7 separate regions of the Mus musculus genome follow, and regions 2, 3, 4, 5, 6 and 7 are each reported to be linked to region 1. The links are microRNA targets in miRTarBase. Many come from high-throughput screens and were not tested one by one. Region 1 holds a microRNA gene; each other region holds the end of a gene's coding sequence.

Region 1 (4,067 bases):
GAATCCAAGCTCTGGGCTCTGGGAAGGGCTCTACACACTGTGCTGCACACCACTGGACTGGAAAGCCAGTGTGTACTCTGGACCCCTGAACTGTCTTCCTTCATCTACAAGCTACTGCTTACTTCTATTGTTTGATATAAACCCCAGACATCACATCACTTCTGGATCAGCAGTTATGATTAATGTTCTAGCTTGTCTGATCTGTAGCTCTGAACTTACTCACAAAAGGGCTGGGTCTGCAGGGCAGTGGTGGCGCATGCCTTTAATCTCAGCACTTGGGAGGCAGAGGCAGGTCTGGTCACCCCAGAATTATACACCCCATTGTCTTTTGCTGTTTTCTGCTTCTAAGGCTAAATGTTTCTCCAGAGAGAACAATTACTTTTCATCTCTAGTTGGCACTTTAATGCTTTTAGTTCTAATAACCCATTATTTAGGTTAATAAAGAGATAAAAAATTGCTCCAGCAGGCTTACTCTTTTTTTTTTTTTTTTTTTTGGTTTTCCGAGACAGGGTTTCTCTGTGTAGCCCTGGCTGTCCTGGAACTCACTCTGCAGACCAGGCTGGCCTCGAACTCAGAAATCTGCCTGCCTCTGCCTCCCGAGTGCTGGGATTAAAGGCATGTGCCAACACCGCCCGGCAGGCTTACTCTTCAATGTGCGTTTCTATTCTTTCTGCTGGCACCCGACACACTATGTGCTCAGTTTGTTCTGTGTTGTTTGATTGATGAAATACACTCGAATCTTCACACATTTTTTTTTCCTCCTGTGGTTGGAATTGGATAGTTATTGTAACCAAAGGCTCCACAAAAAGCAATTTAAGGGAAGAAAATTTTATTTTGTCTCATGATTCAAGTGACCATGGGCAAAAAGACAAAAACCTTTATATTTTTTCCTTCCTTCCTTCCTTCCTTCCTTCCTTTTTCTGTAAAACACACACACAGAGATATGGGAGGTGTCCTTCAGGCATGTGGAGGTCAGGGGACAGCTTTTAGGAGTCTGTTTTCTCTCTGCACCTTTTTTGGGGGATGGAGTCTCTTCTGTTGCTTCTCACTGAGTAGTGCTCTGGCCTAGGTGGTCCGCAAGCTCTGCTGATTCTCCGTCTCCACTCTCCATCTCTTTCTGAGAGCACTGGGTTACCGTGGCACACCCTTGTACTCGAGTGGGTGCTGGGGATCAAACTGAGCTCAGTCAGGCTTGTGCACCCAATCAAGGCCAGTGCTTTAGACTGTCCTGCCGTCTGTCCATCTCAAGAGGGCATCTTCATTAAATGGCAAGAAATTAACATTGTGCTCATGAATAGAAACAAGTTTTTAGCTTGACATTTTAAATTTCTACAAATAATGCAGGCTTGACTGTGTCGTGTGTATAAGCCTTGTGTGTGGTGTTCAATACTGTGTAGCTACTACAGCTTCCCCTCAGAATGTAGACTGTTCTCTCTCTCTTTTCTTTTTTCTTCTTCTTTTTTACTTTTTCTTTTTTTTTTTTTTTTTACTTTTTACCTTCTTGAGACAGGGTTTCTCTGTGTGTTCCTGGCTGCCCTAGAACTCATTCTGTTGAGCAGGCTGGCCTCGAACTCACAGAGATCTGCCTGCCTCTACCTCCCAAGTGCTGGGATTAAAGGCGAGCGCCACCACAGCCCGGCTGCCTGGCAGATTTATTTATTTATTTATTTATTTATAACCTTGATCTCATGTTTAAGGTGATGTGTCCCAAACTCTCCACTGTGGGCATTATGTTTTCCTTTATGGTTGATAAATCTATCAAATGTATCAAAATAGGTGAATGTCCTGTCTTTGAAGCCTTCAATCTCAGCCTCCTCACTCCATCATTCCTTCTCCATTGCTTTGCTGTGTCCTATGGTAGGGAGAGCTGCCCCTCCAGTTGTCTGTGCTGCTCTGTCTACTTACAGGACATTTGGAGTCCTGGTTTATTTAGTGCATTAATAGCCTCTTATTATTATTATCATCATCACCACCACTATTGTAAAAATTCTTGGATTTACCCAGAGGAAGTTCCTCAAACTGTTTTTTTATTAATTTATTCTTTGACAATTTGATATATACACAGTGCATTCTGATTATTCTCCCTGTCTTCTCATCTTCCCCTCCAGTCCCTCTGACATGTTCATGTCTCTCTCTCTCTCTTTTTTAATATTACATGTTTTGCCTGAATGTACTCATGTGCCCCATGTGTGCCTGCTACCTGCAGAGGCCAGAAAAGGGCATTGGATGCTTGGAATTGCAGTTTGGATGGTTGTGAGCCCCATGTGGGTTCTCTACAAGAATAACAGGTGCTCTTAACCTCTGCACAACCCTCGAGCCCCTTCATGCCTTCTTGTTTTGCACCCCTTGAGTCTAACCACAGTGGTTCACGTGCCACTGGGTATAGAAGCATTCGCTGAAGTTGGTAGACTCACCCAGTGAACACACAATTGAAGGCAGTGACTGTCCCTGCCCCAGCAGCAGCCAGCACCAATAGTCCCCAAACCGGTTTCCTTGTCCTCTTGTACCATTCTTGGAAGATTTTCTTACCGTCTGGGACAGTGGCGTGTCTCAGGTGCATGCTACACTTCCCCTGCTCCAGTCCCCAAGCCCTGGACTGATCATTTTTCCAGCAAGTGCTGGCTATTCTTGTAGAAAAGAGAATCACTTATAGACATCAACATGAGCTCCAGTCTAGTGCACTGCTACTGAACCATGATTGCTTACTTCTGGGTTTCTCAGCAGAACTAAACACACACACACACACACACACACACACACACACACACACACACACCTTCATATGTTGGAAATCATGAATTCAAGCAGGGTACAATGGTTAACAGCTATATATTTATACTTCTGATACTTAGGAGATAGGCATGGGAATTTGGAATTTGAGGCCACTCTGGGCTACCTAGGTAAGAGTATATGTGAAAACAAGAGTATGTGTGTGATGGGGTGTAGTGGAGGAAAGGAGGGGCCCACATTATTTTGTGCTTCCAATTTCAGCAAACACAGCACTGCCTTCCATTCCCCGCCTCTCATATCTGCGCCCTCTTTTCTAACCACAAGCAACCTGCTTTCCATTACCTCAGGGTAATGAGTACTTAGTCCCATTACCTCAGGGTAATGAGTACTTAGTCCTAGATAGCAAGCTAGAACAGCCCTACCTGCCACTGGTAACTAACTCCTGTTTGCTTCCTCCCTTTGGTCTGGGGGTTTAAAGACAAAACATCCCTACTTCAAGTAATTCTGCCTTCCACACTCTTCAACTGACTGGCGCTCTCTTGAAATACATCTAGGTGATTTTCTGTTTGTTTGTTTGTTTTAAAGATTTATTTATTTTATGTATGTGAGTACAGGGTTGCTGTCTTCAGACACACCAGAAGAGGGCATCAGATTCCATGACAGATGGTTGTGAGCCACCATGTGGGTGCTGGGAATTGAACGAGGGACCTCTGGAAGAGCAGCCAGTGCTCTTAACCACTGAGCCATCTCTCCAGCCCCCATCTGAGTGTTTTTCATTGTGTCCCACACTGTGCCTCTCATTCTTCTGACTCTACAATTTTTTTTCTTGCACTTGTACATTTAGCAGAAATCCGTACTAAGTGAAAAGTTCACCCAGACACCAGTCAAACCCACAGATTCTGCCCACCTTGTAGTCACTGCTGGAGGCAGGAGGATTATGAATTCAAGGTTTTACTTAGCTACACAGAGGTTTGGAGCCCAGCCTAGGCTCTATGAGATCTTGTCCTAAAAACAACAATTAAAACAAAACCTGTGTGTTCTATATTCTGGGTATGTGTTTAGGGCTCTATTTCTGGCAGTTATAATATTTATATTATGTATAATATTATGTATAATATAAATATATAATGATTATGTAATTGAAAATGCTTTTAATATCAGGTTATAGAAGTCTTACTTAGTTTTACAGTTATATATTACTGTTACAAGAATCTCAAGGGTCGGGCTGACGGGGTGGCTCAGTGGGTAAGAAGGTGAACTGGGTATTGTTGCTTGCTCCTTTCCCCAGTGTGGCCATTTTGAATAAACATCCTTTCTCTGCTTTTGGTTTCTTCCCT
Region 2 (4,067 bases), not on the chromosome of region 1:
GTGTGGGTGTGAACCCAGAGTCTGACTGTTATCTCTACTGCTGTAGTGTCGCCAGTACTGTGAAGCACGCCTTGTCTATCTGGCTCAGCATCATCGTTTTTGGAAACAAAATCACTAGCCTGTCTGCCATTGGCACCATCCTTGTCACATTGGGTGTCTTGCTCTACAACAAGGCCAGGCAGTATCAGCAGGAGACTATGCAGAGTCTGGTCACAGCCACCAGCCGAAACCCAGAAGATGACACAGAGCCCCTTGTTCCCCAGGACTCTAGACAGCACCACTGATCACCTGATGCTGTGTAGATCCAGGCCTAGATGTTCCTTCTGTACTAGAGGGAAATGATGCAGGGCAGGTCTCTCGCTCCTTCCTGGAAATCAGATGGGGAATTTGGGACTCAGCTTCTGCCTGGCAGAGCACCACAGGACCAAATGATCTACAGCTTCCCTGGCTGCAAGTGAACCAGTGTCTCCGTGCCCAGCCTGCACTGTGGAATAAGCACAGGCTCCAGGATCAACCCGAGTTGCTGTCTGTTTGATGCCATCCAGGAGACCTAAACTTTTCTATCACCACCACCACCACCACCACCACCACCATGGAAGCCTCTTGGTTCTTGACAGTCTATGAAACAGACATTCCAGATGCCAATGACTCTAGCATGGAGCCATAAAACCCAGAGTAGCAGGCAGAAGAGACAAGTTTCTCCTGCCACGGAGAGACAGTGCTGTGTGAAGGAGAAGTGTCTCCTCCTTGGCCTGTGCTACATTGAACTACCCTGCTCCAGGGTTGTTGTCCCATGTTTCTGCTACCATTTTGTGATTGCCCATTCTGGGAAGTTGGCAGCAAATCTCTAATTCAAGCAGATGGTCTGGAGTGCTTTTCCATTTTAAGTATGTGAATGTGAAGCGGGCGATTCTGAATGGCACAGTGGCTGCCCTATGAAGATTTCCCTTCAGGATGCTTGATAGGGACGTTCTGACGAGCATTTGAGTGTTTATAGGCTATGCTGTAGTTAAAGGGACACTTCTTTTTGATGTAGCAGGTGCCTGTCGAGGTTTCTCTGTGTCTCCATGTAAGGTACATCAAAGTGTACATGCACAACTAACTCTTCACCAGGGATCATATGATGACTGCCTGAGCCACCAGGTCTCCAGAGCTTAAGGTGGAGTGGAGGACAACAGTGGGCCTTGGGTTAACACGCTGAGGTTCTACATTATTCGGCATTTTGTGAGTTGTGTGTGGGGTGCAGTCTGTTGCTAGCCAGTCTCTAAGACTCCATTACTTACAAGCTGCAGCCACTGGCACTCCTTGTCCAGGTCTCACTGGTCCTCCCTGCTCTAAGTCTTTCGTGCACATGGTGGTTCAAAAAGATAATGGGGTGAAAAAGAGCAATAATTATGTCTACATTTTATTTACTTGAAAAAGCCATCTGCCATGATGATGGATCAAAATGAGGCCTTTTAATCCATAAGCCAACTTTTAAAAGAAGCTGATGTGTGCTGGACATCAGCTAGGTGTATCTTTACTATGCTATGTAAAGATATTGTGAAGATGTTCTCTCATTTGACTTTGCCCAGGTTTCTAGTTCCTTCCTCTTTGCTCTTCTCAAAATAAAGATCCAGTGGAGGACAGATGGCAGACGTTGGATTAATCTGTGTAGACCTGTCTGCTCAAGATCTGGCTGTGGAGCTGCTGACACCGAAGAGCACGTGCTTGTGGGTATTGGTTGGCAGAGCTCTTCTGGCCTTCCCGCAGACCTGTCTAAGTATGCTCAGAGCTCTACATGCCTGGCTTCTTACTATTATTTGGAATTTCTGCCTGTGTCCTATGTTTAATTAGGAAATGACCTATTGTGACTTGCTCTGGCCATCCCTCCCCCATGTCACAAGACTCAGCTTGTTTTGATTTTCTTAAGGTTTGGGCTAGAAACAAAAACAAAGATTTTTCTTAAAGCAATTTTCTCTAAAGCTGCTTTGAGACTTTTCCTCATAGGTGGAAAGATCATGGAATCAGCTGCTTCCTTCAGGTCTTCCAGGACAGGGCTGGGTTGAGAATCGTGGAACGGCCCTGCTTGACCATTTGTTATGACTATACCATAACAATACATTTTTAATTGACTTTGTTAGTACTTTCATAGAATACTATGTTCTTCATGAATTGTTACTGATGTAAATGTACAAATATTGACACCACGTGTCATTCCTTGTCCTGGATAATTCCTCCTGAGTTTATGTCATTGTCTGGTCTGTTGTAAACAGAACACTGGATTGACCTTCTGAGCCAGCTAGCTGCTTACTCACTGCACGCATAGTTAAAAGATATACACATTTCTAATTTCAAAAATAGTTCTAGGAGCTACAGAGATGGCCGAGTGGTTATGTTTCTTGCTGAGGACCCAAGTTCAGTTCCCAGAACTCATGTAGAGTGTTTCACCAACTTCCTATAACTTCAGCATTAGGGATTCTAATGCCTCTGGCTTCTCTGGGCATCTGCACACTGGCTTGTGTATGAACACACACACATATACACACACACATATATCTTAAAAATAAGTACATTTGCTAGGGGAGGTGGTGCAAGCCTTTAATCCCAGCACTTGGGAATCAGAGGCATGTGGATCTCTGAGTTTGAGGGCAGTCTGGACTACAGAACAAGTTCCAGGACAGCCAGGGCAACACAGAGAAAAGCCTGTCTTGAAAAACCAGATAAATAGATAAATAAAATTTAAAAACGTCCATGATTTGGGGTATACCTTAGTGGCACATCACTGGCATGTATTGTGAAGCTCTTGGGTTGATCACCAGCAGCAGATGTGGGACAGAAAGATAAAGGGGAGACAACAAAAATAACCCCAAAACTTCTAATACTAAAAGACAAGGAAACGTTTTTGTTTTTTGGGTTTTTTTGTTTTTTTTTTGTTTGGTTGGTTTTTTTTTTTTTTTTTTGGTTTTTCAAGACAGGGTTTCTCTGTATAGTCCTGGCTGTCCTGGAACTCACTTTGTAGACCAGGCTGGCCTCGAACTCAGAAATCCGCCTGTCTCTGCCTCCCAAGTGCTGGGATTAAAGGCGTGCGCCACCACTGCCCGGCCGGAAAGTATTTTTTTAATTCATTGTTTTGCCTGCATGTGTGTCTTTATGAGGGTGTTGGATCCCCTGAAATTGGAGTTACAGATAATTATGAGCTGCCATGTTGCTCCTGGGAATTGAATTCGGGTCGTCTTGAAGATCAGCCATCTTACCAGCTCCTGTTTTGTTTGTTTTTAAACCCGATCATGATGGCACATACATATAATCTTAGTAATTTGGAAGCATAAGAGTGCATAGTGGTTCAAGGCCAGCTTGGGCTACATATTGAGACCAAGTTTCAAAAAAATGTTTATGATCACAATTTCTCAAATATTAGGATTATCATCTGTCTTCAGATGGTGGTTCACACTTTTAATCCCAGCACTTAGGAGGCAGAGGCAGGTGATTCTCTGTGAGTTTGAGGCTAGACTGGTCTACAAAGCCAAATCCAGGACCCCCAGGGCTCTGTTACACAGAAAAACCTTGTCTCAAGAAAAGTAAAAATGATGAGTCAGAGGAGATTAAAGAGAATTAAAGCTGTTCAAGGGATTCGGCCAAGTAAACTTTACTTTGTGCCTTAAAAACAGCACAAAACAAGTGGCTTTGTGATCCTGCTCTCAGATGATCACTTTGCTCAGTGATAATAACAGATGCTCAGCACAGCCTCCTGTCACATCTGTCCAAGTGATGTCTTCTTTTTTTTTTTGTTGTTTTTTTTTGTTTTTTTTTTTTGTTTTTGGAGACAGGGTTTCTCTGTGTAGCCATGGCTGTCCTGGAACTCACTTTGTAGACCAGGCTGGCCTCGAACTCAGAAATCCACCTGCCTCTGTCTCCCGAGTGCTAGGATTAAAGGCGTGCGCCACCACCGCCCAGCAAGTGATGTCTTCTTAACATTGGAAAGGGGTAAAGAAAGATGTTAGTACAGATGGGAAACAATGCCGGCTCCTCCTGAGATTGCATTTACCTATGTAACCCATAGTGTCCTTGAACTCTAGATTCTTCTA
Region 3 (4,067 bases), not on the chromosome of region 1:
TAGAATCATATTGAAAATCGGGAAGATACCTCGAAAATCTACTGCTTATTTTAAAATCAATGTTTAAGTAAGTCTGCAGATAAAGGGCATAAGAAAGGCACAGTGGCAACGTGGCTTTAATGCCAGCACTCAGGTGGCCGAGGCAGGTGGATCTCTTTGAGTTCAAGCCGGCAGCCAGAACTGCACAAGGTGAGTCGCATTCATTCAACCTACTGAGACCCTTAAGCCATGATCACATGAGCTAGCCTGCTGCTGTTACCCGGTAAACCTTAAAAGCAGGTCTTTAGAGATGAGTTAAATACTGTGTTACTCAAAACTGGTCACTGTTTACTTATGTGTGGTATTCATAATTTATGTTAAACTCTCTGTTCGGCTCAGAAACTCAAGTCAAGGAATCTTCTGAAGACAAACAACAGTTTTCCTCCAACTGGACCATGTAATTTAAAGCTGAACGGCAGTCAGCAAGTACTGCTTGAACACAGTTATGCCTTTAGGAACCCTATGGAGGCGAAAAAAAGGATAATTAAACTAGAAAAGGAAATAGCAAGCTTGAGAAAAAAAATGAAAACTTGCCTGCAAAGAGAACGCAGAGCAACTCGAAGGTGGATCAAAGCCACGTGCTTTGTGAAGAGCTTAGAAGCAAGTAACATGCTACCTAAGGGCATCTCAGAACAGATTTTACCAACTGCCTTAAGCAATCTTCCTCTGGAAGATTTAAAAAGTCTTGAACAAGATCAACAAGATAAAACAGTACCCATTCTCTAAATGTAAAATGGAAGAGACTCTCTGCACTCAAGTTTTCCTCACACAGAACCCAGTGCCCAGCTCCTGCCGTCCCCACCCACCGCACTCTGACAGTTACACTACAATCAAGTCCTGCAGTTTTACTTGAAGTAGTAGTGTCAGTGTCACTCTCTGGAGACTGAGGAAGTGGGAAATCCAATGACAAGCTTGACACCGAGCAGAAGTGCCTTACATGAGGGTCACGGACTTAGGAAACACTGCCAGCAGGGTTTCTGCTCTTGTTTTTTTAAGCTGCTGTCAAATAGGAATGACAAGTGATATGTTCATAAAAGTAAAAGCATTCCGCACCAAAGCTGGGATATTACATTCTAAAGAACATGTGAAGTAGGAGCTAACTGCATTAAATATGATCTTAAAACTACTAATGTATTTTGTATGAATTAAATTATTGGGATTGTGGTTGAAAATTTTATAGAATAAAACCTCTGGGGTACGGGGCAAGGTTTGTTTCTTTGTTTTGTTTTGTTTTTTGTCTTTTTTAGCCTTTTGTATTTTAACTAGTAAAAGTAAACTTATCATGGCCTTTTTTTATAAGAACATTGAATTTAAAAGTAGGTTGTAAAATAATCTGAAATAGTATTTTGAATGTGAAATACCTTTGAAACTCCAAACTAGGTAAGGCCCCAAGCACCTCAGACTGGGAAAACCCAGTGAGTTATAGTCAACGTCTAAGAAAATATACAGAAAAGAATGCAGAATTGGAAGTCTAGCTTTTACCCTAACAAAACAAATAGACAAAGGTACATTATTTTTTTCTCTTATAATAAAGATTTTGAATCTCCATCTTCATAATTGATATGTTAATAAACACTTTAGACCCATTTGTTCCTCGCATTGATAGCAAAATCTTTTTTTTTTTTGGTCCTTCCCCCCCACCCCCCAGACAGGGTTTCTCTGTGTAGTCGTGGCTGTCCTGGAACTCACTCTGTAGACCAGACTGGCCTCGAACTCAGAGATCCGCCTGCCTCTGCCTCCCAAGTACTGAGATTAATGGCGTGCACCATCATGACCACTGCCTGACTTGACAGCAAATTCTTAAACTGATCTTTCTTTTTTGTGACGACTTCTGCCTCCCAAGTGCTGGGATTAAAGGCGTGTGCCACCACCGCCCGGCTGTGACTACTTCTTAATTACCTTTTTTTAATGTCAAAAATAGCTTTTCCCTCCTTAATAAATCACAGAATAATTTAATCCCAAGGAACTACATAACTATATTGTATTTCAGACCCAGGTCTGGCTGCTGCATATCCATGTCTGAGGATGGGAAAGCTTCTAAGAAAGTGTCTGAGGATCTAAGAAGGTGTTTTAAGGTTGGGAAGTTCAGCATAGAGGGCGGGGTATGGCATCCATGCCCTGTACCAGGTAGGGCCTGGGGGAGCTGAGAGGACCTGGAGCCCAGGTCCACTTTGGTACGCTAACTATGCACCTCCGCCACTTGTCCTGGGTGTGAAACCCAATAGTGTCAAGTTAAAACAGGCTCAGTTTATCTTACTCCATCAGCTTGCTTTTTAACCCCTCCCCCCCCTTTTTTTGGATAATTGAAACAACTTTAATTCATAATGGAAATAAAATACAGTCCTCTAAAATAATGTGTGTCTCTGTGATAAAGCTATGCAAATGCTGATATTTATAAAATAGAAATAGCAAAATCGCTCTTCTGGAACCACTTGCACCTTGAAAAGGCCTTGTGTCACTAAAAGTCTAATAAGAGCCCTCCCTTCAAAATAAGAGCCCTTCCTTCAAAAAGCTGTGGCTAAGTAAGTAAAAGTGTATTCACATAAGTTATGTAGTTCTTCTTCAAGTTTGTGAGCTTACCATATGAACATAACATGCCTGATCACACGTGACTGTAAACCTTTCCTACACAGAGATGGAATTTGAATTCTCTGCCATCTCTTGGGCTGTTCCTCTCTGTCCCACCCAGCAACCAGCACTGTCTAGTAAGAATTGTCTTCCCTGCAAACATAAGGGTGGGAAATGGCTCTCTTAGTTTTCATGTGATACTTATGACCAATACTCTATAAACTCTTTTGTAGATGTGATCACCCTTGGTAGCTATCTTAAGTATTGGGTAAAGTTCCTTAAATTTGTCATTGTATATTTTTTCCTAATACTGGTTCATGTGTCTTTATATTATCTCAAATATCCACGGCAAATACACTGAGTGTACCTACTTGATAGCCTAAAATAAGCTGGGTAACTAATCGTATTAACATAACCTATGCTCTTGAAATGTAAACTTTCATATGGTTTACCATGTTCCCCAAGCCCCAACCACTAATTCATGTGGTCTGCCTAGGGTTTGTATCTTGATATCTTAATACATTTTTTTTTAAATCATAAATGTACAGCATTGTAAAATACAAGCACTTTTGGCAAAGTTGCATAGTCTTCATTCAGTATCATCAGCCTTTAGTTTCTTTGGGCTGTGTTGTTTGTGTGCTGGAAATTGAACCCAGGGCTTCACGCATGCATGTATACGCTCCCACGGAGCCACATCCCCAGTCTTTTTCATTCACTATTTGTGGACACCATTGAATAAACCATCCTCTCAGTAAATGTAATTCTCTGCCTGTTTTCTTCATGTTATTTTCCCAATAGCATGCTGCAAAGCCTCTTTACATGACTGTATCAATAACACATCTGTCCACCTTTAAAATGGCTGCCTAGCTAACACACATCTGTCACGGTAGCCACGAGGGAGAAGGAAGTGAAGGTGGGGAAGCAGGAGTTCCAGGCTTTTAAAAACATTCAAGGAATCCTACAATCCTGCCTTCAGTGTGCTGATAGATTTATTTAGTTGACTGTAAACCAGAAAACTGATGGAGTGAGGCCTGATGAAGCCAGAGGACAAATGCCTCTAATTCCTGTGCTTTGGAGGAATAGTGGGAGGGCCCAAAACTCAAATAGCCAGCTTAGGCTATTTGAGACCTTGTTAGGAAAATAAACAAACCTGTCAGAATTACAACAGTAATATCTGAGTCAGACCTCACAGATCTTCTATCTGTCCAGTTTGTCTACACGCTACTAACATTCACAAAGCAAAACGAAAAAACAAAAACACAGCTGAAGGTTAGGAATTTGATATAAAGACAAATACTAGACTGGGAGATGTGTCCTGTTCAGCATGCATCAAGCCCAAGGTTCAAACTCCAACACCCAAAAGGGGTTAAATACAACACTGGCTACCCTTCGGTTGCTGCAAGCCTCCCAAAAGAACGGTGCTTATTAGAATATGAGATGCATTCTATGAACGAAATAGG
Region 4 (4,067 bases), not on the chromosome of region 1:
TGCTGTGGTGCTGACTGTCTTTGCTGTCTGCTTTGTGCCTTTCCACATCACCCGCACAATTTATTACCTGGCAAGACTGTTGAACGCCGAATGCCGGGTGCTGAACATTGTCAATGTGGTTTACAAAGTGACTCGTCCCCTGGCCAGTGCTAATAGCTGTCTTGATCCAGTGCTCTATCTGTTCACGGGGGACAAGTATCGAAACCAGCTCCAGCAGCTATGCAGAGGTAGCACACCTAAGCGCCGAACAACTGCTTCCTCCCTGGCATTGGTGACCCTACATGAAGAAAGCATCAGCAGGTGGGCGGACATCCACCAAGACAGCATCTTCCCTGCTTATGAGGGTGACCGATTATAACAGTGGGCACTGGATATGACAGGAAGGGGACTAACTGCAGGCAGAGGGGAGGGAGCTCCTTAGTGACAGTTGATAGGGGCATCAGCTATCCTCTTTTTAAGCCAAAGTTTGAAGTAGTTACTCCTATGCTTCTTTCTCTTTTTCTGTCCCTTCCTGGGGCCACTGTTCCCGTTTCTCAAACCTCAGTACTCTTTGCTGGTTCTGCTTCCCCCAGGTCCTTCCACAGCATGTGTTTCTTCAACCAGAGTAGTGACTTCAACTAGAGGAGTGAAGGTAGAGCAATCTCAAGACGGGCCTGATGTGTATCATGAAACAAGGCAGAACCAGGAAGCTGGGGTACTAGCATAGCACAGATACCATATAAGTCACATGCAGCATTCACACCCACTTCCTGGCTCCCTCTCAAAGACAAGATAGTCCTACCTGTCAAGGTGCTGAAATAGGGTACAGGGCATGTGAACCTGCCTTGCAGGGCCCTACATACCCTCTCGAAGCCTGCTGGTGTTTAACTGCAGAGCAGCCATGAAACAGAATACTGCTCTTGGTTGCTGACCCTAAGGAACCTCCGGAGGCAGGGTCCAGGTTGATAGCAGCCTTGGAAGCAGGAATAAGATTACACCTACCTCTAGGACTTCGGGAGAACACACTTGATAGCTCCCACCTGTTTAATGAGAGGAGGAATGGACAGCTCTGACTGAGAAGGAAGAAAACCTCCAAGCTCTCCTAGTGATGGGCAAAGCAGGTTTGTGCAGAACCGGGTGGTAACAGGAGTAGACGCCCAGAACTGGCTCTTCACTGCTCTCTTCCCTTTCCTAGCTCTAGTTAGATAAAGCATAAATAAACCTGTCACCAGATCTTTTTGAATCAGGCGATAGGATTTCAAGGATTTCAAGGCTAGGGTGGGGCACTCAGTTTTCCTACCTGTTCAGTCCTCTTGCCGCAACACTTATGGGTTTGGAGGATCTGGTGGGTGTATGGAGCAGAGGAAGCTAAACCCTGAGCTCGAGAAGAAAGAGTTTCTGGGCGGGCATTCATTTTCAGCCTCGTTTCCTGTGAAAGTCACCTGCTAGCCTATTGGCCTTCTGAGTCAGCCCCCAACCTTTGCTGCTCTTTGTGATCACTACTCATCTACACACACCAACTTCTTATTGGCCTCAAGTGTTCTCTCTGTCTGGAGTGTAGGGGAGGGAGGTACTAGGCTACAGAGTAAAACAGCTAAATCATAATGCCCCTCTGCCTTTCTTTTTGTTCTTTAAATACATCTTTCTCCCTTGGAGCACAAGAGTTCTTCTATTAGAAGTAAATTAAGGGGCCCTTTTGAGTCTTACCAGGTCCCCACTCTTATGAGCACAATCTCCTTGCCCGTCACTGCTGCTAGCCATAGGCTCCATGTGGTAACGTTATTCTCTTCATTACAACTCATTCAAGCTCCTCCATCATTGGGCCCCAGAACTCCAAGCTGCTTAGTCAAGACTAACTTCCTGGACTTCATAGTTTGCTATTTTATCCTCCCCTGTCTCTCCACAAGATCTCACTGTGTACCACTGTCTAGCCTAGAACTAGCTACAGAGACCTGGGTGACCTTGACCTCATAGGGATCCACCTGGTTTTGTTTTTTGTTTTTTGTGGGTTTGCTTCCCAATTCCTGGGATTAAAGACATATGCTAGCAGGCTGGGTAAACACCTCAGTGTCTCTATGCTTCATTCCAATCTGCGTACCTGTGCTGCATTGTCTTTATCACTTTCTTCCCCATGGCCCCTTAATGAGGGACCTTGTTCCTTTTTTCCTTTGTCTTCATCTTTGTTAGTTACTTTCATCACTGATTTTATATCACCATATAAAAAAAAGACACAACTTTGCTGTCTCATTTTGCCACAGTTCTGTTAGTGTCTCCTCATTTCACTACTGCTATAAACACAAATCTGAGTTCCTCCCATTCTTTGGCACTTAGAACACAAATTATGTCTTTGGCAAGAACGTTAATATTTTCTCTACTCTTATCCCTCTTTGACCTCTACTTCACTTGACTCTACTGCATGTAATTTTATAGGTATTTTTTAAATATAAAAATAACATTTAAAATAACCTCACTGTGACAACACTGAAGGAAATGTGGAGAGAAAATATTTACCTATTTCAACCCCAAATTTCTGTTTTCCATACTCAACATTTTCTTGGTTTGAAGTCATGTATTATAGAAGTATAACCACAGTTATATCTTTTAAAAGTCTGCTTTTTAGGGTATTTAGAGTTTGGTGATGTATGCCTATAATCCCAAGAGTTGGTAGTAGACACAAGAGGGTTATAAACTGGAAGTTAGCCTAGACTACATAGTGAGACCTTTTGTCAAAACAAACAAATAAGTATAATCCTCTTATTGCAAACTTTCTCCAGGTTGATGCAATCTTTTTGTTTGTTTGTTTGTTTGTTTTTTGGTTTGTTTTTTGTTTGTTTTTTTTGTTTTTTTGTTTTTTGTTTTTTTGAGACAGGGTTTTTCTGTGTAGCCCTGACTGTCCTGGAACTCACTCTATAGACCAGGCTGGCCTCGACCTCAGAAATCTGCCTGCCTCTGCCTCCCAAGTGCTGGGATTAAAGGCGTGCGCCAATAGTTACATAAACTTACTTCCATTGGTAGACCATATCTTAATAGGCTATTCCCTTATTATTATTATTCCACTTAGGTAGGTTAGTTTTTCTGTGCTTTGAATATTTTCCTGTTTGTGACTTTTTTCTTTTTGCAATTCTAGCTCTAGTACAAGTTCTCAAGAGTGAGATTACCAGACCAAAGAGCACGAACATTTTTATGGATTGTGATTTTTCCCAATGACTGCATACATTTTCACTGTCACAGTGATATATGGCTAGCTTAGTTCCATTGCTGTTCCAGCATCAGACTTTATGGGAAATCTTTCTGGAAGAGAAACATTCAATTTGTTAATTTCACTTCTTTGCTTACCTATGGCATTGAACACTTTCTCCCATGTTTACTATTTGCATTCTTTTTCAACTACTACTTATCTTCTATTGAAATATTATATTATTTAATGTGTATATTATAATTGGTCATATTTGACTTATGTAACCCACTTATTACAATGCTTTATTCCTTCGTTTCATTCCCTAGATTTAGAATCGCTTTCCTTCTGCTTTTTGTTGATTACTTCCCCTCTCTCCTTTGCTGCCGTCTTTTTGTCCGATTCTTGCCATGTGGGGTGATTTAATCCTCTATGGATTATCAGATTGTTTATTTCCTCTTAGACAGAACAAATAGCAGGTAAATACAAGTCAATTGACTTCTAGTCCTTAAGAACCTCAGAGATCATCCAGAGCTTGGGTTCCATTTCATTTTCTAGCTGAAGAAACAGTCCCTGTGAAATGCCGTGCTTGTGACTTTCTCCATAGTGGCGGGTATTTCCCATGATGCCTTTCATTCTACCATGCCAACTTGGTGCTAGGCCAGAACCTTTGTCTCTCCAAACCCAGCTGACTGCTGGACAGGTTCACTTAGATCTTCCACTGTTGCTTCTAACCCGTAATTTAAAAAAATGAAACTGCCTAAACCAGTTCTCCTACTCTTGCTCATTTCTATTCATGACACCTTTCTTAAACTACCTAGGTTCTAATGTTACTGACAAACTCCACTCTTCCCCTAGCTCACCGAGTTCTGACATTGCTCTCTTTGCAAGGTGTAATTGGCTTTCTTCTATT
Region 5 (4,067 bases), not on the chromosome of region 1:
TTTGTGCACTTTATTAAGCCATCTCTTGAGCCTCTAAATTCGAGTTTTAAATACAAACCACCTTCCTACTTTCCAACATACAAGATGCTGGACACCCCACCCACACTTAATACATCCCCAGTCAGCAAGCCTCATGTTTGGACCACTCCCAAGGCTGTGCTCACTCTTCCCCTGGTCAAGAGAGAGCCAGGTGGGGGTAAATGCCCCACAGCCACTGCCAAGGGTGGTGGAGGAGTCCAGCACACCGCCTGCATGGCCCCTCGTCCCTGACAGCCGCAACACCACCCGATGCTTCAGAATCCTTTTGACTCTTCCCACCACTAACAACCGCACACCCATTTTCATAAATTCTTTATTTTGGAAATTTTAGTAAAAAATCAGTCAGGAAAAATTGAAGAGATTTATTGTATAGTAATCAGACAATTGATTTGAATAAGGCACATTCAACATCATCACTATGGAAATGAATGCAAAAAGCAGTTATGGTGATTTGGTAAGTTTGACAAGCCATTACATTTGTAAATATATAAAGGCAAAACTCTATGGGGTTAAGAAATCTTTGTTAGAGAAAGTAAGAGTGTTGGTGAAAATCATTTTTGCTGCACTACTCTCGTGTTCACAGGCTGCATCTGTCTGTCATAGCCAACATCCGTGCTCACAGTGCTCCTGTCTTTAACAAGACTGTGGACCAAAGGCTGTGAGACAAAGCTGTACCATCAGCCACAGTGATTGGGGGTGGGGGTGGGGCACATAAGCCAATGGGAAGGGTACTGAGCCTCACTACTCCCCCTAAGCCTGCGGACTTCCAGGTAAAAGTTACTAAAATTAGTTCAGTGTTAAGAACTCTCTAGAGCTTTTCTGACAATCTCTGAGTGGTGCCCAGAAGAACCCTAAATTTTACCTGAAAGGGAAAGAAAGACCCAAGTCTAAAGACAGTTTCTATTTCCCCTGCTTGCTTCTAAGACTTGGTATTACTCAAGAAGGGATTCCTAGTTAAAAACAAACAAAAAAAACCCCACCACCAATAAAAAACATACACACACAGGCAAATTATCACAAAGAATTACAACACACATAAAAGGCTGGAAAACTGAATATGAAAAGCAATGGTCTAGAAGACAGTACACGGGATAATAGGCTGGTGTGGCGGCACACTACCGTAATCCCATCCTGTAAGAGCCCGAGGCTTGAGAATCATTACTTTGGACTGTGTAGAGACTCGGTATCAAAACCAGAAAATTACTTGTTCTGACCCCAAACTAACATACTGCTTCTTTTCAAAATGACTTTTAAGAGGTCTGGGATATAGGTTAGTGGTAGGGCACTTTCCTTGAATGTTAAGGCCCTGAGTTTTGAAACAGAGGATAGAAAAAAAAAAAGCAACAACAACTGACAAGTCTCACTCAGCTGATTGCACTTATGACAAAAGGAAAAGTGTATTTTTACAAGGTAAGTAGTAAAAAAACCAAAAATAATTGAAAAATAATAAATTTCTAAAATGTATTATATCCTAAATTTGTGTTGACAGGAAACTATGTAAGGCTGTCGTTTTACATAGTTTTAATGAGGAAACGATTGCTTTCCACTTGTGATCTGAGCCACTGACATAGACTGTGCACAAATACTGTAGACATTCCTCTAGAGTCTGAGGTAGCATGGGTCAAAGGCCAACATGACAGTCTGCAAGGCACCTTTTGACGCGATTTGATGTGGTTTTACGCGATGTAATGCTAGTGGCTAAGAGCTTACATGAAAGTTGGATATGATGGCACACACCTGTAGCCTCGGCACTCAGCACACGGAGGTAGGAGAAATTACTCTAAGTTCAAAGTCAGCCTATGCTACAGAGTAAACACCAGGCCAGACATGGCTATGTGACAAGCCACTAGCATTCAAAACAAATAAGTCTAGAAATACAGAAGAAAAAAAATTCAAAAATGGCAAATGGATTTTTCTTCAATCCCTGTGTTTTACAATGAGTTGACAGAAAAATTCCATTCACTATGCTTAAACTTTGTGTAGGGTCTTTTCTGAAATCTATATCAGGATTCCTTCAAAATCCCAAATACATACTGTTTCATGTGTGCCCCCATACTTAACTTACTTAACACCAAAGGTTGTGGCCAAAGCCATCTTGTGGGAAATATTTTCAGATCACCTCTCACCCGTGTCTCTGTGATCCATTTAACTACCAATAGACATCTTCTTAGTGTTTCCTAAAATCCCTTTAGACTCAGGTTGCTTAATGTCTTAAGTGTATACATGATCTCTTAGCAGCAGATGACCCAAAACTGAGTGCAAGATTCCAAGGGCTTTTCCCATCCATGTAAAGGAACAGACCTTTTGTGGGTCAAGATCATTTTACTAGAGTTTTACTTTCAGAGTTCACGTACTGATTAACAGCTTATTGGCCCCAGTCTGAAATCATGGGATGTAGCTTAACAACGGATATTGGCCATGATTCCTCTTTCTGTTCCCTACAGGAGACCTTCCCCTTGTGTTTATCAAGTTCCTTTCCTGACGGCATTTCTAACTAGCTGAGGACCTCAAGTCTTTTCTGAAAGAACACAGACAACAGTGAGATTCCAGCAGGGGAGGACAGGAAAGATCCACAGAAAGGGACAAAAGCTCACGGCCCTGCCCTACACCCTCCAGTAGCAGCTCATCTGCAGGTCTCTGTCGCCCTGAACAACAGAACTTCCTGTTACTCCTCAGCTTTAACCCTTTCATGTCTTCCTATCCTTCCTACTCTAGAATGCACTTTCACTTCATCAATGGCTTTCAAACTTCTCTGTGAAACTCAGCTCCACTGAAATCCTAACAGAGAACCCCAAACCCAGCAGCCAAGAGCAGGCATGATTCACAGGAAGGAGGGGCTGCTGGGTAGGCAAAGACAAGTGACATGGCCAAGGGGGATTTTTTCATTTCTGGTGATTACTAACAATTTCGTCATTGAGTCCAATGCTTGGGAAGGTTCTTTTTTGAGCACAGCTGTTCTGGCCTCAGCTCACTAACGGAACAGAAGCACACACACACCAGGCTCTTAGGTAGGTTTGGAGGGTTGAATTCTAGTTTTCTGTTTTCACCTACTCAAAGTGCAAATCTGTGTAAGACACAATCAACCCACAAGTGTATTATTAAAGTGAGTATTAAGGCCAGGCAGTGATGCTGCACGCCTTTAACCCCAGCACTTAGGAGGCAGAGGCAGGCAGATTTCTGAGTTCGAGGCCAGCCTGGTCTACAAAGTGAGTTCCAGGACAGCCAGAGCTACACAGAGAAACCCTGCCTCAGAAAAAAACAACAAAAAAAAGTGAATATTAAAAAGCACTTAATATGTAGTAGAAGAGTTCTCTAAAATCATTTACATGACACCTCGTCCAGGTCCAAGCACTGCCCTAGAGGCTGGTGAGAGTCCTTGCAGGCAGCAGTGGGGCTGCAGTTCCCCGGAGAATCAGATCTTCCTGTGCAAAACAATTCTATTCTACTGATGTGCTGGACACTTAAACAATACATCATGTTGTATTTTAACCCTGATTGGCTTTAAAAAACAAAGAAAAACATCAGGCCAATTGTTAGTTTTATCAAAGTTCAGACTAGAAAGATTTTTTAAAAGTCAAAGAAAAAAAGCTTCTTTTCTAACACAGTGACGGCCTCCCAGCTGTTTCCTCTCACATGCCAGTCACCTCCTAGCGGGACAGAGCCCTGAGACATGGCCCTTCCATGTCACCTCTGTGACTGGCTTCACAAAAGGCAGCCTCGCTCTTCTATGTTCCTGACGGGCTGGACGGGCAGCACCAGGTGGGAGATGCGGCTCCAGAGCCCACTCAGTTTGTCTGAGTCCATGTGGCTGTAGGAGGTGGGGCTCTCAGAGTTGGTGAACTTAGCCCAGAGTAAATCCCTCACCTTTTCTTCTATTTCCCTGGGGCTTACACTTGCTTCTAACGTTTCCTCCTCCAGCAGGACTGTCAGGACAAGTGCCACATCTTTAAAGGCGGCGTTCTCATGGTCACAGTACTTGTAGAAGATCAGGGTGGAGCCGGCAGGAAGGGATTCGAAGTGGTGGACCA
Region 6 (4,067 bases), not on the chromosome of region 1:
TAAAAGCTAGTCACTCCCTTACACAGGAATTTACCATCACTAAAGACCTAAGGGGAAGGTGGACTATACAATAGACTAAAATAGGAACTATGGCAAGGGCATGAAGCCCTTGAGCCTGACTTCTAAGATTAGTGAATCTTAGGTGGAGCCCTTGTTGATCCCAGTTGTTAACAATGAATTCTATCCCAGGTGGTTCCTGTTAGACCTTCTGTGTTTGCATTCCTCTGTTTTATGTAAGAATCCAGAAACCTCTTTGTACCCAAACTTCTTTGTATGTCACCCAACTTCCTTATTGTCTTCTGTATAAAAAGTCTGATACTCGAGTTGACATTACATTCAGATACTACACAACCTCTCCTGTGTGCATCTGTCTGTCAATTTATTCGACGCTTTGCCCACCTGAGACTAGAGACCCGTTCCACGCAGACAAAGGGGCCCAGAGGGTCTGCGGCATCTATTCCCTGAGACGGAGGTCTGTTGTGGTATCAATGAGCATATTGAAGTGCATATACCCTGACATGATTAAAAGCAACACTGGAAGGTGAGGATCAGGCTCAGTGGCTCAGCAGTTGCTCAACATGTGCTCAGTCCCCTGATTTATATTTCAGGTGACGAGGAACAGGAAATGTGAAGGTAGGAAGGGGCGGGGTCTGTGCATTTAAAAACCTGCAGTAAACTGAATGCCGGTACATGTGTGAAGGCCTGCAGACTTTTCAAGGGTTTGGGCTATCCCTCTGCCCCTTTTTGAGGCAGTTCTTTCGTTTGTTGTGCTGTGTACTCCAGACTAGCAGGACCACAAACTTTGTGCTGATTCTGGTCACCTCCCATCTGGCCCCGGGGTGCTGGGCTAACAGCTCCACAGCACTGCATCCAGCTTTCTCTCCGAGTCCTAGGACGGAAGGCAGCTCGTCAAGCTTGCACAGGGACCACGTTTACCCACTGAGCCACCTCCTGCTCTCCATCGCGTTCTGAAAGAGTCCACTCCAAACCGCTGAGAGGATCATAGCCTACCCCTTCAGGTAGCTGCAACCATGTTTTACAGGAATACTTTACATCCGAAATTCTGTGATTTAAAAAAGTATAATTTAAGAAATTATTTAGTCTATTTTGAGTAGTTAAATAAATTCTAGGTAGAAACATAAAATGGGGGAATAAACAAGGTTTAAAAAAAGAGAAAAAAAAAGGCTGTTTGTTTACCTATTTCTGGCAAGCAAAATTTTCCAAAAAGAAAATGATATAAACTTCAAAAACACAAAACTAAAAACTTATAAAACTCAACCTGTATTCTTCCACTGGCTGTTTTCAACCATCAGTAGCCTTGGGTACTTTTATTTGGGGACAGGAGTCATAATGACCGGAAGAGATAATTTTAGGAATGTTAAACACATCTTGCAATAGAGTAACATTATTTCCCCAAGTATCATGCCCCAAACCATCAGTGACTGTTAGTGTCTAGCATAGAAAAGAGAAATTTCACTTTAGACATATTTTTTCTACTGAGAAGGCTTATCATATGATTTTAGTATTATGTTTTGTTAATGACAAAAAAAAATCTATTGCCACAAAAGCTATTTTAGTAAAAACTACCCAGGGAAATACAAACATGGCTTGTTTTGTGTGGGGGATATGGACGCCAACCTTGTGAAGGAAAAAGTGCAATGGAGAGCAAGACAGCACAGGCTCCTGCGAGTCCTCCAAGAGTCCTGATGGTCCAGGGCATTAGATCTAAGATGGCTCCTCGAAGGCCAGTTAGACAGCAAAAAGGAACAAAGGCCAGGGCAGTACACCTCTTATCCCAGTACTCAGGAGTCAGAGGCAGGTGGATCTCTGTGAGTTCGAGACCAGCCTGGTCTACACAGTAAATTCTAGGACAGCTAAGGCTATGTAGAGAGTCCCTGTCTCAAAACAAACAAAACAAACTCTTAAAACCAAGTCAACAATAATAAAATTAACCATAGAATGCTTCAACTCAAATCATTTGTGAAGTCACCTGTCCAGCCAGGAAACCCTGTCGAGAGAGAGAGAGAGAGAGAGAGAGAGAGAGAGAGAGGGAGAGGAGAGGAGAGAGGAGAGAGAGAGAGGAGAGAGAGGAGAGGAGAGGAGAGAGAGAGAGAGAGAGAGAGAGGTGAATGTAATAAAACAAAAGCAAGAATAGTCTCTCAAACTGTGGTTCAGCTGTTTTTTTCACACTTTGGCAAACATCAGAATTTTCTGGAGGAAGCTTGAGAAAATAAACATTGCTCTCCCCACTAGCAAGTCTCAAGACAGTTCTGACACTGGTGTGATAGTGAGCCACTCAGCTTTAAGATCTAGTATCTGACTAGACAGTGGTTGTGCACATCTTTAATTCCAGCACTCGGGAGGCAGAGGCAGGCGGATTTCTGAGTTTGAGGCCAGTCTGGTCTACAGTGTGAGTTCCAGGACAGCCAGAGCTACACAGAGAAACCCTGTCTCAAACAAAACAAAACAAAACAAAACAAAAGATCTAGTACCTGGAATGTATACTATTATATAAAGAAAAGAACATATCGGATATGGCTCCATCCAACTTTGTATAGACTCTCAAGATATGTTAGGCTGGGCATAGTGGTGCATGTCTTTAATCCTAGTACACAGAGGCAGAGGATCTTTGAGTTTGATGCCAGCCTGGTCTACAAATTGAGTCCAGGACAGCCAAGGCTATTATACAGAGAAACCTTGTCTTGAAAAACCGGAAAAAAACAAAACAAAACAAAACAAAACAAAAAATCTACTTAAGTGGAAAAACCACAATGTATTCATGTTGATTCACTGATTCCCATAAGTTGGGAAGGTTGTCAGGGGGAAAGGAGAATGCTGGAGATATGGCTCAGTCGTCACCTCAGAGGACTAGGGGTTGGTTCCCAGAACCCACATGGAGGATTGTAACCACCTGTAGCTCTAGCTCTAGAGCATCAAATGCCCCTTCTGAACTCTGCAGGCACCAGGCACACATGCGGTGCCTATACATCCAAGGTAAGCAAACACACACACACACACACACACACACACACACACACACACAATGAACACAGGGTTTTTTTTTTTGTTTTTTTTTTTGTTTGTTTTGGTTTTTCGAGACAGGGTTTCTCTGTGTTGCCCTGGCTGTCCTGGAACTCACTCTGTAGACCAGGCTGGTCTCCAACTCAGAAATCCGCCTGCCTCTGCCTCCCAAGTGCTGGGATTAAAGGTGTGCGCCACCATGCCCGGCATGAACACAGTTTTAAAAAAGAAAAGAACAAAAGACACAGGACAGTACAGTAAGTCGGATAATTTATGGCTATATGAAAAATTTATTGACAAAATAAAAACTATTTACAGATTTACAGAATGGGACTGACCTTGCTCCTATTTTCTCCATGCATCTCTCTATACAATCCAAAATGAAATCATCAAGGTTAGAGAGTTAGAGTGAGAACGCCAACTATAAAGACACAAATATTCGCCGGTCGTGGTGGCGCATGCCTTTAATCCCAGCACTCGGGAGGCAGAGGCAGGTGAATTTCTGAGTTCGAGGCCAGCCTGGTCTACAAAGTGAGTTCCAGGACAGCCAGGGCTACAGAGAAACCCTGTCTCGTGAAAGAAAAAAAAAAAAAGACAGAAATAGTCAGTGAATTATTCAAGACTCAGGAACTTCTTCATCAGGGCAGCAGTAATATTCCACAAAACATATCTGCCCATCTTCATTTCTAATCATGTACTGTAAGGAGAGGAAGCCTCGGTTATCTGTCCGGATAGACACTTTACAGGATAAAGCTAGTGCCTTTGTAGAGGGCTTCAGTAGCGACAGCTTGTATCTGTGGGAGAGTAAAGGAAAGGCCGTTGTTTGGATCCACTAAATGCCATGCATGCAACACCAAGTAAAGACAAAAGTTAGTACTGAGTAGCAAGTACTTAACCGAGGTGCTGGATTTCTTGCCTTATCCACCCGCGATTACAACCCAATATCCCCAAGTAAATCTAGTGCCAACCATCTACTCTTTTTAATGCGATGTACTTTTTTTTTTAACAGATTAAAAGTTTTTGTATGGAACTCTGGTACTTAACTT
Region 7 (4,067 bases), not on the chromosome of region 1:
CTTTTAATAACGAAAAGAAGAAATATATGCAGACCCACCTCCTCAGCAGTTTGGCAAGCAAAGAGCATTAAGTTTATACAAAGAGCATAAAAAAGTAAAAAAATCTTTAAATCTAGAGAGAACATATTCAAGCTTTTGATATGCATTTATTTATATAGGAGAAAAAATACATTTGACATAAGGAACCCAAGCATGAATGCCTTCCTGGCAACAGTCTGGCCCAGCGGTGACCACATCCACCCAGCTCTCACCACCCTCAAACCAGGGTTCACTCTCTATTAACCACTTACACGAGGCCAGCCCTCTAAACCTTACAAGTTTATCTATATTGTCTTTGAGCTTAGGAATTTCAGGTACTCAAATAATACTATGTATGTACAATTCTGCTTCATTGCACAGGGTCACAATATATAGCAAGTGATTATATGACCAACCACAAGATAAACGTTGATAGGCACAAACATCTGTCTCTAACCACAAAGGAAGCAAAACCCCAATTTGCCACAATGCAAAGGCTGTGTTGACCCTGCTACCGTCCTGAGGGTTTACAGCACTGGTGTGTTAAATGCAAAACTCGTAGGTTTCTAGTGGCATCAGACAGGACACACGGGACACTCGTGTCCTGCACTCATGAGCCACCTGTGCCACACATGTAACACAAAGGCCACTTTAAAGCTTTTCAGAGTTCTTTAGTCTTTTTTGCCTTTAAAAAATATCACCGCACTAGTTAAGACTATTAATTACATTCTGACATAGAAGTTCAAAGTGGATTACAAGCTCTGATTTTATTTTTGTCAAACTTAAATTTATCAGAGACAGAGCCACCTCTGTAATACACTGCAATCTAGTCTTTAAGAGCTCTAAGGGTGACAAAGTGTTTAAAAGTTAAAAAGCATTAGGAAGTTTAATCTTGCTTTAAAATGTCACATAATTAAGTCAGCAAAGCCAAAGCCTTGCCCTTAACAGCCTGGTGACCCTCAAAGGAGCGCTTTACAGCCGACACTTGCGCCACCTGCACGGAGTGTAAAGAAAACAAGGCCAAGTATAATCCTGGGCTGGGCAGTGGTGGCGCACGCCTTTAATCCCAGCACTCGGGAGGCAGAGGCAGGTGGATTTCTGAGTTCAAGGCCAGCCTGGTCTACAGAGTGAGTTCCAGGACAGCCAGGGCTACACAGAGAAACCTTGTCTCGAAAAAACAAAAACAAACAAAAATTAAAGTATAATCCCTGGTTAACTCCCCTCCCCTGTGCTGCATCTGGGCAATGCTGCACGTGGACACAGGGGTCAGGACCCAAGGCGCCATCTCTCGTTTCTGAGACTTCTCACCTTCAAATTGTAACTGAAGACAGTAGTACTCAGATGTATCTCAGACAAATTCTTGTCTGCCGAGTCCTCACATTTGCCCCTTAATGTCCGCACTGCACTTCCACCAGTGTCGCTCCAAAGCCGCTGACCTCCGTTACTGCCACCCCAATGCTTACCAGGCTCCCAACTGTTACAGCTGGATGATGGTAGCTTTATGTAACCAGCTTCAGTGTAGTTAAAGAGCTGTTTTGGATTACCTTCCCCAGAAACTTCTCTCAAACTGCAGCTGAGGGTCTGATTTCAGTTTATAGGTACATAGGTGTACACACACACACACACACACACACACACACACACACGCAATTACCCAATGAAAAACTTAGTAAGAAACCTATCTTTGGGGTTGGGGACTTAGCTCAGTGGTAGAGCTCTTGCCTAGCAAGTGCAAGGCCCTGGGTTAGGTCCTCAGCTCTGGAAAGAAAGGAAGGAAGGAAGGAAGGGAGGGAGGGAGGGAGGGAGGGAGGGAGGAAGGAACCTATTCTTAAGGACTGGGGATGCCAGGTCCGGCAGCTCACGCCTTTAATCCCAACACTCAGAAGGCAGAGCCAGGAGAGTTCAAGACGAGCCTGGGCTACCTGTTGAGAATCTGTCTCAAAATAAAATAAAACCAAATAAAACCAAAACTGGGAAGGCTGGAGTGTAGTGGGACAGCATTTGCCTAGGATGTGCAAGGCCCTGGGTTCAATCCCTAGCACCATTTAAAAAAATAAACAAACAAACAAAAAAAAAAAAAGCAAAGAAACTGACTTGCTTATGTCGACTCCTGGGAACCAAGCTGACCGGTGGTGGTCACAGACAGCTTCCTGAAAATTCTAAGCTACTTCCCAGACTGATGGTATTTCCATTACAGCATTTACCCAGAAAATAGCTATGTGACTCCTTGGCCTGGTTCCTGCCAGTTGGATCCTACCTGACCAGAAGTCAGGGCTGCTACTTAGAGCAGACATTCCTAAACGGCACAGTGGCAACTGGGCTCCTGAGTAGCAGAACCCTGAAATCTTTCTTCCCAGAGAAAGAGACGGGCGGCCAGAGGGGAAGCACCCTCCACTCCTTAGCTCACTCTGTAGCACTGAGAAACCAGAAAAAAAGAAGACTTGGGGTTGCATTAAAACCCCTGAAATAAAACTTTATGGAAGTGTTTATTTGTTTAAAGTCCAGTACCAGAGAGCAGGACAGACATGACAGTTACTATTCACAAGGGACAGTGTCCTCACTGGTTGGCTGTCGACAGCAGTAGCACAAAGAAGCAAGCAGAATAGCAGAGCCTGCAGTGACCAGCTTACCACGATGAAGCACACAACGGAATTTAACTAGGGCACCCTATCTTTTGGCAATGAATTCAGTAAAAACAGCACAAGGACATTCTGGAAGGGCTTAAAGTCAGACTCAGAATTAAACAGAAAGTGTTCAAAGCCAAACAGCAAAATGGAAGCGTTCATTAGCTGCTCAACTCTATCAAATGTGAACAGAAAGTTTAGATCGCGGCTATCTCAACAGCACTTATTTCAAAGCTAACCCCAACCATTCATCATGGAGCTCAGGCATGGCACTGAGTGGCACCTCTGCTCCAGTCCTCCGTGCAGAGCTGGGGTCTAATGATTATGGCCCTCTTAAGAGCAGAGACAAAGTAAATGAGGTGAGAATGAGCCTGAGATGCCCCGGGCTGGGGGCGAAGCACGCGCTCTGGCTGCGGAGGCCACAGCCCAGCGGTGCAGGCTGGTTCCCGGGCAACAGCAGCCTAAAGCTCTGGAGTAATGACCACACCCGAACCCTGACACCTGCCCACTGAAACCTGGACTCTGTTCTTGTCAGTGCTCTGTCTGCAAGTTATGGCTTGGTCTTGGACACCAAACTGTACTTAAGCCAATTAGGAACAAAGCCAAATTGCATTTTCCTTAGGTCTAGTTAGATGAGAATAACATCTCACATAATGATTTCATCATACAATCTTTAACAAAAACTCGTAAGTGGCATTGATTATTCCCCAGGAGATGAGAGAGCGGTGGTAATTCAGATGTGCACCTCTGAAGAGATTGATCAGCTTCCTGTCCCGCTCTATCCAGATAGTCTTGAAGACCATGGGGAGAGACAGGAATGGCCCGCCAATCTGAGACTGTATTCGAGCTTTGACAACGTTAATGGGGAAGCTTAAGAAGCCCAGCACGGCCCCGAGTACACCTCCACAGATGAAGTCGTTGACCAGGTGGGCGCTGTATGTAGTGGCAGTAGGCAGGCTCTCCTTAATGGGCCCTCGAAGGCCAAAAAAAAGGACATTGCCGAACCCATTCCGGAAAAGGATGGGCACCATGCCTCGGTAATACTCTGCAATCCCATGGCATCTGAGCGCCCTGAAGGCCTGGTAAGTGTTTGTGAACTTATCGTGATGTTTGTGGTCCTGAAGCAAAGTCTGAACCCTTTCGAATGGAGTGAGAATGGCTTCCGTCGTCCCGGCCAGCAGCGCCGCCACGCTACGGGTGGCAAACTCGGGAGCGCTGCTCACGTGCTTGTGGAGCAGGCGCGACAGGTCCTCATACAGACCAAACATAAGTGCCAGCGTGGTCGTCTTCTGCATCAGCGGGGGCAGGATTCCGCGGTACAAGTTGCGGAACCCATCCTTCCTCAGCTGCAGGACTGCATCCCGGGTCTTGATGCCGTAAAGCTGCTGCCGGAAGAGGATCTTCTGAACCGGGTAAGTGATCGCC

What was found. The annotated mature microRNA mmu-miR-1195 reads UGAGUUCGAGGCCAGCCUGCUCA and lies in region 1 at 1,553-1,575, opposite strand. An mRNA with a match to its seed (bases 2 to 7 or 8) in the 3' UTR can be bound and repressed. Matches are read on the target gene's strand: a 7mer-m8 pairs with bases 2 to 8, a 7mer-A1 pairs with bases 2 to 7 and ends in A, and an 8mer does both.
Region 2: miRTarBase lists Slc35e2 as a target of mmu-miR-1195. Seed matches in the 3' UTR shown: 7mer-A1 at 2,409-2,415, 7mer-A1 at 2,987-2,993, 8mer at 3,015-3,022, 7mer-A1 at 3,839-3,845 and 8mer at 3,867-3,874.
Region 3: the mRNA of Thap2 is a reported target of mmu-miR-1195. Seed matches in the 3' UTR shown: 7mer-A1 at 1,721-1,727 and 8mer at 1,749-1,756.
Region 4: the mRNA of P2ry4 is a reported target of mmu-miR-1195. Seed matches in the 3' UTR shown: 7mer-A1 at 2,878-2,884.
Region 5: the mRNA of Tor1aip2 is a reported target of mmu-miR-1195. Seed matches in the 3' UTR shown: 7mer-A1 at 3,247-3,253 and 8mer at 3,218-3,225.
Region 6: miRTarBase lists Rad1 as a target of mmu-miR-1195. Seed matches in the 3' UTR shown: 7mer-A1 at 3,554-3,560 and 8mer at 3,525-3,532.
Region 7: the mRNA of Slc25a51 is a reported target of mmu-miR-1195. Seed matches in the 3' UTR shown: 7mer-A1 at 1,147-1,153 and 7mer-A1 at 1,118-1,124.

The regions. Positions count from the first base shown.
Region 1 is chr17:70,859,006-70,863,072 of GRCm38, forward strand. It overlaps Mir1195 (microRNA 1195), which reads right to left and starts at 1,595; the gene lies at 1,498-1,595.
Region 2 is chr4:155,618,466-155,622,532 of GRCm38, forward strand. It overlaps Slc35e2 (solute carrier family 35, member E2), which reads left to right. Exons shown (of 9, transcript NM_177186.4): 9 at 47-4,067. The coding sequence ends at 284. The region is part of intron 1 of Gm16023 (predicted gene 16023); the gene reads right to left. Among named protein-coding and RNA genes, the nearest start is that of Gm16023, 4.3 kb to the right of the region's middle.
Region 3 is chr10:115,369,258-115,373,324 of GRCm38, reverse strand. It overlaps Thap2 (THAP domain containing, apoptosis associated protein 2), which reads left to right. Exons shown (of 3, transcript NM_025780.4): 3 at 379-4,067. The coding sequence ends at 765. Among named protein-coding and RNA genes, the nearest start is that of Tmem19, 9.0 kb to the right of the region's middle.
Region 4 is chrX:100,589,496-100,593,562 of GRCm38, reverse strand. It overlaps P2ry4 (pyrimidinergic receptor P2Y, G-protein coupled, 4), which reads left to right. Exons shown (of 3, transcript NM_020621.4): 3 at 1-3,409. The coding sequence ends at 358. Among named protein-coding and RNA genes, the nearest start is that of P2ry4, 3.3 kb to the left of the region's middle.
Region 5 is chr1:156,065,133-156,069,199 of GRCm38, reverse strand. It overlaps Tor1aip2 (torsin A interacting protein 2), which reads right to left. Exons shown (of 7, transcript NM_172843.4): 7 at 339-4,067. The coding sequence ends at 3,742. Among named protein-coding and RNA genes, the nearest start is that of Tor1aip1, 31 kb to the right of the region's middle.
Region 6 is chr15:10,492,902-10,496,968 of GRCm38, reverse strand. It overlaps Rad1 (RAD1 checkpoint DNA exonuclease), which reads right to left. Exons shown (of 6, transcript NM_011232.3): 6 at 3,274-3,815. The coding sequence ends at 3,638. Among named protein-coding and RNA genes, the nearest start is that of Rad1, 8.9 kb to the right of the region's middle.
Region 7 is chr4:45,395,937-45,400,003 of GRCm38, forward strand. It overlaps Slc25a51 (solute carrier family 25, member 51), which reads right to left. Exons shown (of 3, transcript NM_001009949.3): 3 at 1-4,067. The coding sequence ends at 3,305. Among named protein-coding and RNA genes, the nearest start is that of Slc25a51, 11 kb to the right of the region's middle.